Linked DNA regions of Canis lupus familiaris. The protein of the gene in region 2 purifies or fractionates together with the protein of the main gene of each other region. This does not show direct contact. Links are inferred from orthologs where the notes say so. Each region holds a gene or a part of one and is shown on either strand. Other genes may lie near its edges.

Evidence for each region. The genes of interacting proteins can lie anywhere in the genome.
Region 1: the proteins of EIF4E (region 2) and ANGEL1 purify together in Homo sapiens (affinity purification with mass spectrometry; 3 studies listed by BioGRID and IntAct, counting the BioPlex papers as one, with this or other methods). This does not show direct contact. The link is inferred for Canis lupus familiaris from reciprocal best matches to the Homo sapiens genes EIF4E and ANGEL1.
Region 3: the proteins of EIF4E (region 2) and HHEX purify together in Homo sapiens (affinity purification with western blotting; 3 studies listed by BioGRID and IntAct, with this or other methods). This does not show direct contact. The link is inferred for Canis lupus familiaris from reciprocal best matches to the Homo sapiens genes EIF4E and HHEX.

What each region holds. Positions count from the first base shown.
Region 1 is NC_049229.1:49,998,920-50,003,045, forward strand, and holds the start of ANGEL1 (protein angel homolog 1), read right to left. Parts: upstream 2,801-4,126; 5' UTR 2,786-2,800; coding exon 2,722-2,785; intron 2,646-2,721; exon of another isoform or gene 2,621-2,645; intron 2,318-2,620; exon of another isoform or gene 2,072-2,317; intron 1,786-2,071; coding exon 1,648-1,785; intron 1,007-1,647; exon of another isoform or gene 895-1,006; intron 1-894.
Region 2 is NC_049253.1:18,844,960-18,848,459, reverse strand, and holds part of EIF4E (eukaryotic translation initiation factor 4E), read right to left. Parts: intron 1,465-3,500; coding exon 1,401-1,464; intron 706-1,400; coding exon 592-705; intron 1-591. UniProt on the Homo sapiens protein: Acts in the cytoplasm to initiate and regulate protein synthesis and is required in the nucleus for export of a subset of mRNAs from the nucleus to the cytoplasm which promotes processes such as RNA capping, processing and splicing.
Region 3 is NC_049249.1:7,235,507-7,239,646, reverse strand, and holds the start of HHEX (hematopoietically-expressed homeobox protein HHEX), read right to left. Parts: upstream 2,801-4,140; 5' UTR 2,786-2,800; coding exon 2,422-2,785; intron 299-2,421; coding exon 120-298; intron 1-119. UniProt on the Homo sapiens protein: Recognizes the DNA sequence 5'-ATTAA-3'. Transcriptional repressor. Activator of WNT-mediated transcription in conjunction with CTNNB1.

The sequences.
Region 1 (4,126 bases), on a different chromosome or scaffold from region 2:
GGTCACACTGAATTGGAACCAGCACTTGACCATGAATCAGAACTGTGGGTTATGACCTAGCGCTGAAATTTGGACAATGCCCCCAGTGATATGGACTCAGTCTTGACTATAAATTGGGGAGGGGAAGTTTGAACTACATAATCTCCAAGAGCCTTTCTAGTTCTATAAATCCCCTAGTCTGTAAACACATTGCAAAAGAAAAAGTCCTGAAGTAGACAAAAAGAGTGTCTCAGAATCTATACGATTCACTTTGTAGCAAAGGCCCCTGGTCTTTTTCTCAAAACTATTCTATTCATAAATCTTCACAAACTTCATTATCAGCCTTCCCATCCCATAACACACCAGAGGCTGTAAATCAGAAGGTGCCAACAAGTGACAGCAAGAGACAGCTGTCATCTCTCTGCTACAGCAGCCACAAATGACAGTCAACAGGCAAGAAAGCAAGTGGGAAAACTCTAAAATTAGAGCCCCCAAACTCCAAGCACAGTATTTTAGTGCAAGCAAACACCCACACTCACTAAATCACTTATTTACGGCACAGGACAAGTGACATGCACGATGCTCACCCTCAATCACCAGAGATTCATTTCATCAGCTCTATTTTTTAAAAGGCAAGAAAAACTTCAAAAGTGTTCAAATGTTGACAGATACAATCTTATTTATGGTCTATGTGGATTTCTGTCCCTCTAAGCCAGTGGTTTTCAACCAGGGGTAATTTTGCCCTCGGGGCCATTTAGTATTGTCTGGAAACACAGTGGTTGTCAAAACTGTGGGGATGCTACTGGCATCTAAAAGTTAGTGGAGAAGGACACTGCTGAACATCCTACAGTGCAAAGAACAGCCTGACAATAAATTATCCAGGCCCAAATGCCAATAGTGCGGAGATTGGCAGACCTTGGTTTAAATCCACGAACTGGGCCGCTGGCTCTGATCTCAGGGATTTTTCTAATTCCTTGTCCCTTGAAACATCCTCTGCATGCTAGACGGCAGCGGTTCTCTGATTTATCTGTGTGAGGATACTAGTTTTCAAATTTAGCAGATTTTTGGTGGTGGTTGGCTTTCCAAAAGAATTATAGGAAGGAAGGACAGAAGGAAAGAAAGGAAGGAGAGAAAACCTTCTGGAGAAACCAAATACGCAAAGTTAAAAGAAGTGGCAGGGGATCCCTGGGTGGCGCAGCGGTTTGGTGCCTGCCTGCCTCTGGCCCAGGGCGCGATCCTGGAGACCCGGGATCGAATCCCACATCGGGCTCCCGGTGCATGGAGCCTGCTTCTCCCTCTGCCTGTGTCTCTGCCTCTCTCTCTCTCTCTCTGTGACTATCATAAATAAATAAAAAATTTAAAAAATATTTAAAAAAAAAGAAGTGGCAGGATGCCTGTGTGGCTCAGTGGTTGAGTGTCTGCCTTCCGCCCAGAGCATGATCCGGAGGTCCTTGAATCGAGTTCCCCATCAGGCTCCCTGCAAGGAGCCTGCTTCTCTCTCTGCATCTCTCATGAATGACCATATAAATGAATCTTTAAACAACAACAACAACAAAAGTGGCACTACTTTAATGGGGGAAGGAGGGAGGGAGATGCTCCCTTCCCCGAGATCTCTAAACTCTGCGGGCCTAGAAACCTGTGGACTAGTCGGTGTCACTAAGGCTGCACCTTGACGTACATCAGAAGCTCCAGAAATGACAGCAACGTGGATGAAGGCACATGCTTTAATTCTCTGAAAACAAACACTTCCGCGGAGTTTCTCGTGGTGAACCGCGTGCCTACTATACTCCGGGCGGTGTGCTAGCACTAGAAACACAGGGAACAGAACAGGCATGGCCCTGCACCCCCCACCCCACCCCGGGAGCCTGCATTCCAGCGGCAGACACACAGGAACAGATGAATTTACACACCCACACACATCGTGTGAAGTTCCAGAAAGGGGGGGAAAAAAAAAAAAAGCACAGAATGCAGTTGACGGCTTATTCCTAGGAAAGTAGCTCTTGGTCTGTCCCGCCCTCTAAAGTCGCCAGAGAACATTCTGGGAGTTCTGCTTCTCGCAGAGGGAGGGGGTCCCCTAAGAGCCTGGGGAATTTCAAAGACCAGGCAGTGCAGGCGGATGGTGAGAAAGTGCAAGCATGACAGCCTTCCCCGCCCTCAAGGACCAAGCGGGAGTGGGCATCGGCTCCGCCCCGCCGCATCTCCAAACGCGGCTTCCAAAGCGGGGGCTTCCGTGGTCTCTGGGTTTGGGGAGCAGCCGGCCCTTCCCAGCCTGAGGCTCGGCCGGAGAGCGGAGCGGCGGCTGGGAAAGGGGAGCGTGGAGTGACCCGGGAGGCCGCAGGTACGTGCGGGGCTCGGCTCACACCCCACCCCCACCCCCACCCCCGAGAATTCGGCCCTCGCCTCGACCCGAGCTGCCAACGCCCCCGCCCCAGGGCAGTGCCCCGCGGACCCCCGAAACCTCTGCACCGCGGGGGCCCGGGAGCGCGGCTGCCGCCCCTTCTCCGGCCCCTCCCACGGTAACTGTGGCCCGACGCCGTCAGGCCGCAGGCGCAGGGGGCAGGGAGGCCCGCGTGGGCGGGGGGTCGGCCAGGCCCGGGCCTCGCGGGGTCCCGGACCGGCACCGGGGGCCGCCTCCCCGCACCTGGGCCGGGGCAGGTGGTCGTGAGGCCCGACGCGCCGCGCGGGGCCCCGCCGACGTGGGCCCGGGCCTGGCACCCGCCTGCCGGGACGCGGGGCCGGTACCTGAGAGGGCGCGGAAGAGGCGCGCGGCCGGCAGCAGCAGGTAACACAGGCACGACGCGATCATGGCCAGCCGCCGCGCTCGCGCCCGCGCCCGCCTCCGCCTCCCCTCCTCGGCGCCTCCCGCAGGGTCTCCCTCGCTCCGCTCGGCCCCGCCCACGGCCCCGCCCCGGCCCCGCCCCCGGGCCGGCCCACGTGGCTCCGCGGCGCTTCAACAACAACTTTATTGGGAGCGCTCCCTCGCTCCGCTCCGCTCGGCCCCGCCCCTGGCCCCGGCCCCGCCCACGGCCCCGGACCGGCCCACGTGGTTCCGCGGCGTTTCAACAACAACTTTATTGGGAGCGCTCCCTCGCTCCGCTCCGCTCGGCCCCGCCCCTGACCCCGGCCCCGCCCCCGGCCCCGGCCCCGCCCCCGGACCGGCCCACGTGGCTCCGCGGCGCTTCAACAACAACTTTATTGGGAGCGCTCCCTCGCTCCGCTCCGCTCGGCCCCGCCCCTGGCCCCGGCCCCGCCCCCGGCCCCGCCCCCGGGCCGGCCCACGTGGCTCCGCGGCGCTTCAACAACAACTTTATTGGGAGCGCAGCGGCACGCGCGGGATTCGCGAGGGCGGGGAGCCTGTTCCCGCGGCAACGGGCGGGCGCCCAGCCTGAAAATTAAGCGAGGCTCGTTGGAGGCCGCGCGGTATCATCCCAGGGCCACACTGTCATTCCCCCTCTGCCATCTCAGTAGGAGTCCACCTGGGGCGCCCCATAACCTCTCGCCCCACAGATGACGACTTTGTCTCAGGCCCCCGCAGCCCTGACTTCTGTAATCTCTCTCCGCATCCCAGGGAGGATGCGCCTTCTTGGGAAGAAGAATTTATCCCTGTTCCTGACTCTACTGTCTTCTCTAGGTCACTCAGATTCTAGGTCCCAAATTAAGTCCACACCTTTGTCTCCTTTTCCATTCTATTCCAAATGAGCCTTCTTTTTACCTAATCTGGGGGGAAAAAAAAAGAAAAGAAAAGAAAAAAAAAAGGGCAGGTGTCCAGTTGGTAATTGAGTCAGGAAAAGTGGGTGGAGCAGGGGTGGGAAGCTCCACAAGGCAGGGACCAAGTCTGGTAGGTGGGCTGGTTTTCATTGAGGTGCCCCTCTAGTGCCCACAACAGTGTCAGGCACACAGTAGGAGCCAAATCTGTGTTGACCCAACAAAGCAGGTGTCACTGAATGAAGGCCCGGTCTTCTGTCAATTCTGTGCTACCCGAAGACCTCTTGGAGTCTCTCTCTTCCCCCATCCTTACCCCTCAGTCCTACCCCGGCCACACTGGGATGCAAGGACGGTGTCACACTGCCAAGTTCAGTACCTAGTGTCTGAGTTGTGCGATTGCTGATTTGTGGCTGGAGCCTCGGTTGCTCGGGGAAGCCCTCCG
Region 2 (3,500 bases):
GAAATTCATGCAAATATTCAGTAACTGCTTAACTCATTAAGTGCTAACTATAAATGAGACACTGTGATGAGTGCTACGAATCCAAGAGACTATTATTCCTACTCCTAATAGCTTAGAGCTTTTAACTTCTCACTATAGAAAATGCCAATTATCTCATATTTAATATATGTCTTAAAAAGCTGGAAGTTTTAGATTATAGTACAATACATAAGGTAAATAATATCAAGCTATGCTTTCATTGTTTGCTTCACTGACCTAAAAAATTTATACACAGTAATACTCTGAAGAAGGTTGTAAAAACTTACAAATGTGAAGTTCTGCAATTTTGAAGTTAATGAAATGACCAGGAGAAACTTACTGTGGAAGGTGAGAATCAACTACCAATCACTTTATATCTGATATGTAATACGGTATGGGTTTCACTGGACTAGTATGTAAAATATACAATGTTCACATGATAGAACAAAATTAATTGCTGGCTTAGATTTTATAGGGTGGGTATCCTCATCTCTTCAGAAGTAACCGATGTAAAATGTAATCCAAATTAAGTTTTTAGTATTCCAAAACTATTTTATAATTTTAAAAGCTTACTGTCTCTAGCCAAAAGCGATCCAGGTCACTACGTCTCTGCTGCTTGTTCAATGTAATTAGCCATCGTCCTCCTCGTTTGTTTTTCTCATCTTCCCACATAGGCTCAATACCATCCTACAAGGTTAGTAAGTAACAATATTAGACAAAATTGTTATTTTAATTGAAGAGATCACTAGAAAGAGCAAGCAACAACTCTGTCAACTTCTTGTTTTTTTCTCTTCATAAAACTGCTATTGATGTAGTGGGGGAAAAAAAGCAGGCAGGCCTTAAATCCAGAGGCATGGGACTACAGAATTAAGAGTCTTGATATAGACACTTACTAGCTATCAAACCTTGAGTTTCTTTTGAGGTTTTTAAACACTGAGTAGCAGATACCCTTGAGAAGCTACATACATGTCTATGATCTAGAAAAATACATGCAAAAATTATGCAATTTCAGGGTTAATGAATGCCCCACCTCCTACCACTTGACAAAACTGATTTATAAATACCCCAAAGACCAATACATCCCAGGTTAAAAATTCTGACAAACTCCAGCCTACTCAAATATATAAAAGATACTGGACTGGATGAACAAAGCTCTCTTCAAAAATCAATCACACTGTGTGCCCATAAAGTAAGACTCTCAATTTCAATTATTTATAGCAATAGGGCAAAATTTGTTTATGTGAAAGCCCAGTAAAACTAATTTAATTATTCTCCAAACCTCAGAGCATTAACTATTCCTAAGTTTCTGACAAGATTTCTTAATGAGTAAATGAACAGTCCAGTCTTGTAATAAATATATGAAATTGCCAGTAAAAGCATACCTTAAAAAGTGAGTAGTCACAGCCAGGCATTAAATTACTAGACAACTGGATGTGGTTGTACAGACTAGGTAAAAGAAAAGGACAATTATAAACATAGAATATGTAATGCAGTTTAGGTACCTACATATACATTTAGAAAATATGATAATAAGATAAAAGTTCATGTTTACTTGTTCTTCTACTGAGTCAATTTCTTTAATGCATCAAACAGGTATCCTAACGGTCAGTTCAAGAATCAGCATTTGATGATTTTCAGGAAAATATGTTTAATAATTTTATTCTGATAAAAATATATTTTGATATATTTCTTAACTCAATGCATACATATGTATATATAAGAAACTGGGAATAGGAAGCCTGAGGTGGCTTTAAGTACATGAAAGAATTCATGAGGCTAATGAGCAGTTTTAAAGACACACACACAAAAAAAATCCAGAGAAAGTAAGACAAACTTCCTATCAAGGTTACATGATTGAAAGAAGACAACACTATTATCCTTGAAGGTATCCTAAACAGACCAATGGGTCTCAAATACTGCAGTCACTACTAGTCAGTCAGCATAGCAATCATTTGGGAAGCTTTGGAAAAAAACAAACAAGCAGCAAACAAACAAAAAACCACACCAGGCCCTACTCCTTGTGATTTTAATCCCTTAAATATGGGCTAGAACCCTGGAATCTGTATTTCTAAACTTTCCCCCAAATATCAATGTAACTTGGATATTCACTAGCCTGAAAGTAAATATTAAATGCAGAAACATGATCTTTACTACATCTGCAGACCATGGACAATGCTACTATTATCCTTAGTTAGATTCTCTTGATGTTATTTTAACCCAATCTAGAAATATCTCAAGTAGAGTTTTAAGAAAGATTCTGGCATCCTTTGGATCACATCCCACAGGATAACATATAAATCCAGTTTGGGGAAGGTAGAGGAGGACTGAGACCTGTTTAATTACTCAATGGTCACTCTTCCCAAACTACATTACCACTGGCAACTACCACTAGGCAACAAATGAGGCCTGGGTTAGTAACCATAGAATAAGCACAACTTTATGAAATTAATGGACTGTCTTCAATGGCATCCAAGGTAGAAATGACCAATGTTTATGTTGTCTCTTTTCTCCGTTGTGATGCTCTAAGGTCTCTTAGTTAAGTTTATAGTAATGAGAATCTGTAATGACATATTTAAATAGAATCAGAAAACTACAGACAAGACTAGATAAATCCCAAAGGGCTCAACAGCTGTTCACCACAAAATCTGCCAGGAAAAAAGTGAGAAATGAGTAAGTGCTTAGGTATATACAGAAACCTAAACAATTCCTTCATATGTCTAAGTCCACTATGCAGTAACATTGCTTGTACATAACTAAAGTGTGGGGCCATGTTCTAATTAGAGGTCCACTTAGAAACTCAATTACGAAAATTGGTGAAAAGCCAAACAAACTAGATAAACATAGACCTGATTCAGTGGGGAAATGGTTCAAGACTCTTGCTCTTCCTCCTCTATTAGGAGACTGGAGACTTTTTGGTTTAGAAGATTCAAGTAAATACAATTAAAGAAGAAAATCACTTAATGTTTGATGAAGGGCAAAAACCCTCTTTAGACAATTAAATCTGTGAATTACTGGTGATTTAAATATAGTTTCATTACTTAAAAAAAAAAAAGCCAATGATTTCAATATAAAGTGACTGCTCTTAAAGCGTATAGCTCACAATTTAAGAGTTTTCTCTAATTAGTCTATACTCCCCACCCCCCACCCCTGCCCGGGGATTTAAATGCATACTAAATGCCTATTATATGGGCAAATCACTGGAAAGATACAAAAGAATATTGTCTCTACCCTGGAAGAAGTATAGATATATGAATCTTCTGACAATCTGTTCTTTTGTGTGGGCAAAATACATTCAGTGGATTAATATATAAGAAATGCATCACTGATTTAACATATATAGGATCCAAAAATATACTAGATGTACAAACTAGAATTTTTAGATAACTGCTAATTACTTAAACCTCTTAAAAAGGTTTTAACAAGTTTTATCTTTGAAATAAAAATTATTTTTCAAATAAATTAAATATTAAGTTAATTGTTTT
Region 3 (4,140 bases), on a different chromosome or scaffold from region 2:
GCTCCAGGCATTAGGGGGCGACGAGGAACGCCTGAGCCCACGGTGGCTCCCCCCGCCCCAGGTCTCCGCCCCCAGCCCCCTGCCCCAGGAATCTGCCCCCAGCCCGCAGGCGCGCTCACCTGTCTCTCACTGAGCTGCAGCATCTTGGCCAGACGCTTCCTCTCGGGAGGAGAGAGGTACTTTTGGGTCTCAAACTTCTTCTCCAACTCGATGGTCTGGTCGTTGGAGAACCTCACCTGGCCGCCTTTCCTTTTATGCAGAGGCCTCTGCAAGAAAGGGCTCCAGAGCAGGGGTTTGCCTACAGGGCAGCGAGAGCAGAGGTTAGTGACAGCCCTGGAGCCGTCAGGCCCTGGGGGTGACAAAGGGGAGGAGGGAACTAGACGGACCCTCAGCCGAACTTGTTCACACCCATCCATACAAGGACCCAATGCGTTCCCCCCAAGGCACATGCATACCTGGAGACAGAAACACCCAAAGGCACACACATCTACATTGCATGTGCACACAGACCACCCTTGTACACTCACAGATGCAAACTGCCATCACACCCATAAATGATTTCAAACGCACAAGTCTTTTGATCCCCAAAAGAACACACACTATAAATGGAGTTTAAAATACCACGACACTCCTTAACAAGTCTCTCTGGAATTTATACACAACTTTTTGCACCTCTAGGCCCTCTCTCTTGGTGAGCTGCACTTTCCAAACACCCGAGTGTGTGTATGTTGGGGGGGGGGGCGTGGACTGCTACACTACCCGAGGTGTTCTGGCCAGGTGCCGCCGCGGGGAGCCCACTTGGGAAGCCCTGGGGCCCGGGTTCGTGGAGCTTCCAATCCTGGCTCCAGGGCGCTGCGGCCTCCTCCTCTGATTTCACACCCGGCGGCGGGGGCGGCCAGTTAAAGCTACCCCGTGGGCTATGGCAACATTTCCGTCAATGTGTTTCCTGTTGGTCTATCTCGAAAAGCCCTTTGCTTCCTCCTGCGCGGTCCCAGCAGTAACCCAAGGAAACCCAGGGCGCGCTCTGTGACAACGTTCGCCCCCGACGCGGCCCGACTGAGGGTCCCGCTCCCGCCCCAGCAGGCGAACGGAACCACGCCGGACAGGAGCCACCGCACCAAACCCTCGAAACTGGGATCAAAAATATGATAACTTAAAAAAAAAATACGTTAACTTTTTTTTTAAGGAGTTAAAATATAATCCCCTCCAAATCTTAACGATGAGAAAAGAGGGTGGAGGGCTGAGCTAAAGGCCTCATCATAAACGTGAAGACATTAAAATTTTAATTAAAATGTTACGTTGTCTCTAGGGTCCCCAAAGAAGCTGCCAATAGCAGAGAGTAAATCTAAAACCCTGGCGGCCCAAGGCAAGGAGCCCCGTTTCTTTATGCCCCCGGGGCTTCCGATGCCGGAGCCGCCAAGGGCCCCTCGGGAGTGCGGATCCCCGTCGGCTTGTTTCTTAGGCCGTGCGCTGAGGGACGAGCCCCGCGAACACCGTAAGTCCTAGGTGTCTTCCCCGCCTTTCCTACTCCGAAGACCTATCAGTCAGTCCGTCCGTCCGTCCGTCCGTGGGTCTGCAGGCCTGCCCCCAAACACTTTGAAAGCTGGCATTGTTTTTTTTTTTTCTCCCAGATTTTGCTTACGTCAGGCTTCAGACTAGTGCAAAACAGCTTCGGGGGCGGGGGAAAAAAGGAAGCAACTGGTTATTTTAGCTGCCATAAAGTCACATCCCACACAGAGGAAATGAACAATATCAGAAAAACGGATCCCGGCTATCAGAAGTCGAGTGTTTCCTGAATTTGTCTGTATTGAGGATGTCGATAAAATAATCAGCAGCGTGCACTACTCCGGGGGAAGGGTCTGCTTCATGCAGCCAGGAAAACACTTAACAGCTTCTGAAACCAGATTTACTCCTATCGAGAACTCAAGATTTCCTGTATGAACGGAAAGGGTCAGGCTCTTTCACTGCACAAGCTTGTTGAACCAGGTTCAGCCTCGTAACCACCCGGGCCCAGCAGCTATCCCTGCCCCGCAGGGCCGGCCCGGGCGCCCTGGCACTCCCTACCCCGTCCCTCCAGCTAAGGGGACCCCACCCCGAGCGACACGCGCGCCCCGGGGCTGCCTTCGGCCGCCAGCCCCCGCGGCAGTGCCAGAGGTCTCGCCCGGGCCCGCGCGCCCCGACGCCTGCAAGGTGCAGGAAAACCAATCTGAGTCACGGTGCGGTCGGCCCCGGCAGCGCGCCACTGGGGCACGCGCCTCCTGTCCCTGCGCGCGCCCGAGGGCCGCTTTTCGATCGCTTTTGCCACAACTTTCTATTGCCTCCCCCTCCGCCCCCGCCGCCTCCTGGACGCTGCCACCTGCCGGGTGGCGCCTTCCTCGCCGCGGCCGCGGCTCGGCCCCGCCATGACCCCGGCCGCCTTACCCAGGGGGTCGTGGCGGAGCAGGGCGTGCGTGTAGTCGTTCACCGTCCTTGGGAAGGGGTACAGAGGGCCCCCGAAGCCGCCGGGTCCGTAGGCGGCGGCCAGCGCGGCGGCGGAGTGGTGCGAGAAGGCGGGATGGATCGGCGTGGGCTCGTACACCGGGGTCCGGTAGGAAGACACGAGGCTGGTGAAGGAGGAGTTGGGGGACGGCAGCGTGGGGGCGGGGGTGGGCGCGGCGGGCCCGCGGCCCAGGATGTCCTCGATGTAGAACGGCGTCGGGTGCGCGGGCTGCAGCAACGGCGTGGGCGCGTACAGCGGCACCCCCACGGCGCCCGCCGCCGCCGGCCCGGGGTGTGGGTACTGCATGGCTCCGCTGCGCTCCGGCCCCTCGCAGAGCTGGCGGCCCGCGCCCCGGCGCTACATTTATCCGCGCTCCGCGCTCCCGGCGATAGGCTCCGCCGGCCACGGGGTGGGGCCGCGCTCTCTGGCCCCTTCCTGCCGCCTGTCCCTGCGGCCAATGGCGCGGAGCCCCGGGAGCCGCCTCCCGCCCCCACCCTCGGCCCGCCCCCGCCGGCCGAGCTCCCGCCCCCCGGGACGCGCTGGCTCGCCGGCTCCCAGGACCGACCCGCGCCCGGGTCCCCGGCCGCCGCCGCCGTCGCTCGGGGCGGCGGGCACCCTGGCCCCGGAGCGCTCGAAGGGAAGGAAGCCCAGGGCCACGTCCGTCGAGGGGAGACTCGAGGAAAGCAGCGCTGGAACACGGACTCCCGTGGGCCCGGCCCGTGCCGGGAGGCAGCCCTGCCGAAACTCGAGGGGCACCGGCCCAGGCCCAGGCCCGGCCCCGGGGTGGCAGCAGTGGACCCGGCGCAGGGCAGCCGGACTCGAGCCTGGCGGGCGTGGAGGCACTGGCAGACCGCGCCGTCGCGGGCCGAGAGCATCCCCCGTGTGGGCGCGCGCCCTGGAGTGCCGGTGGCGCTGGCTGTGCCCGGGCGGCAGCTCCGAGGAGAGAAACCCGGCCCCTAGCTAAGGCCCAGTTGGGGTGAGGACGCCTAGGCTTGAAGCGCTCGGCCCTCGCGGCCGCTCCGTCCCGTTTCCTTGGTGGGCGGGCCCCAGCCCTCAGCCGCTCCCGTGAGGACGCTTTCGGGGAGGAATCCGGGGAAAGCCCGGGTCTTAGATGCCACGTAGAAGTCGTGCGGTCTTCGCCCACCCAAAGGGGGTTGCCCTAGGTCCCCTGTCCCCGGGCCCCGGGGGTCGCAGCTGCGCGCAGCACCGCTCTCGCGTTTACACGTGTTTTCTATTGAATCCGTGGCGCTACCCCTGCGGCCTCGGCTCCGTGCAGCTCCCCTCGCCTGCGGGGCAAGGGGGCATTTTCTTGATTGACGCCCTCCTGCGGTCGTCACACCTCGCGGTGAGCAGTTTCTGCTAAGGTCCTCCACTAATCGTGGAAATGCACATTTCCCAGCTTTTTCTATTGAGGTTTTTAATTTACGTCTAGGAACTATTTCTCCGACTAAAGCGGGGTCGCAGACGAAAGAAGAGTGGACTGGAAGCTGGGTGGCCCGAGTTCGAGTTTCACTGCGCACATTTCTGTTGAGCAACTACTGTGTGTCAGCAGTGAACAAGACAGATGTAGTAGTTCCTGTCCTCACGGAGACAGGAAACAAATTTTAATGCTGTGACTTATGTGTGTGCTATGAAGGAGAAGTACATAATGATCTGAAACC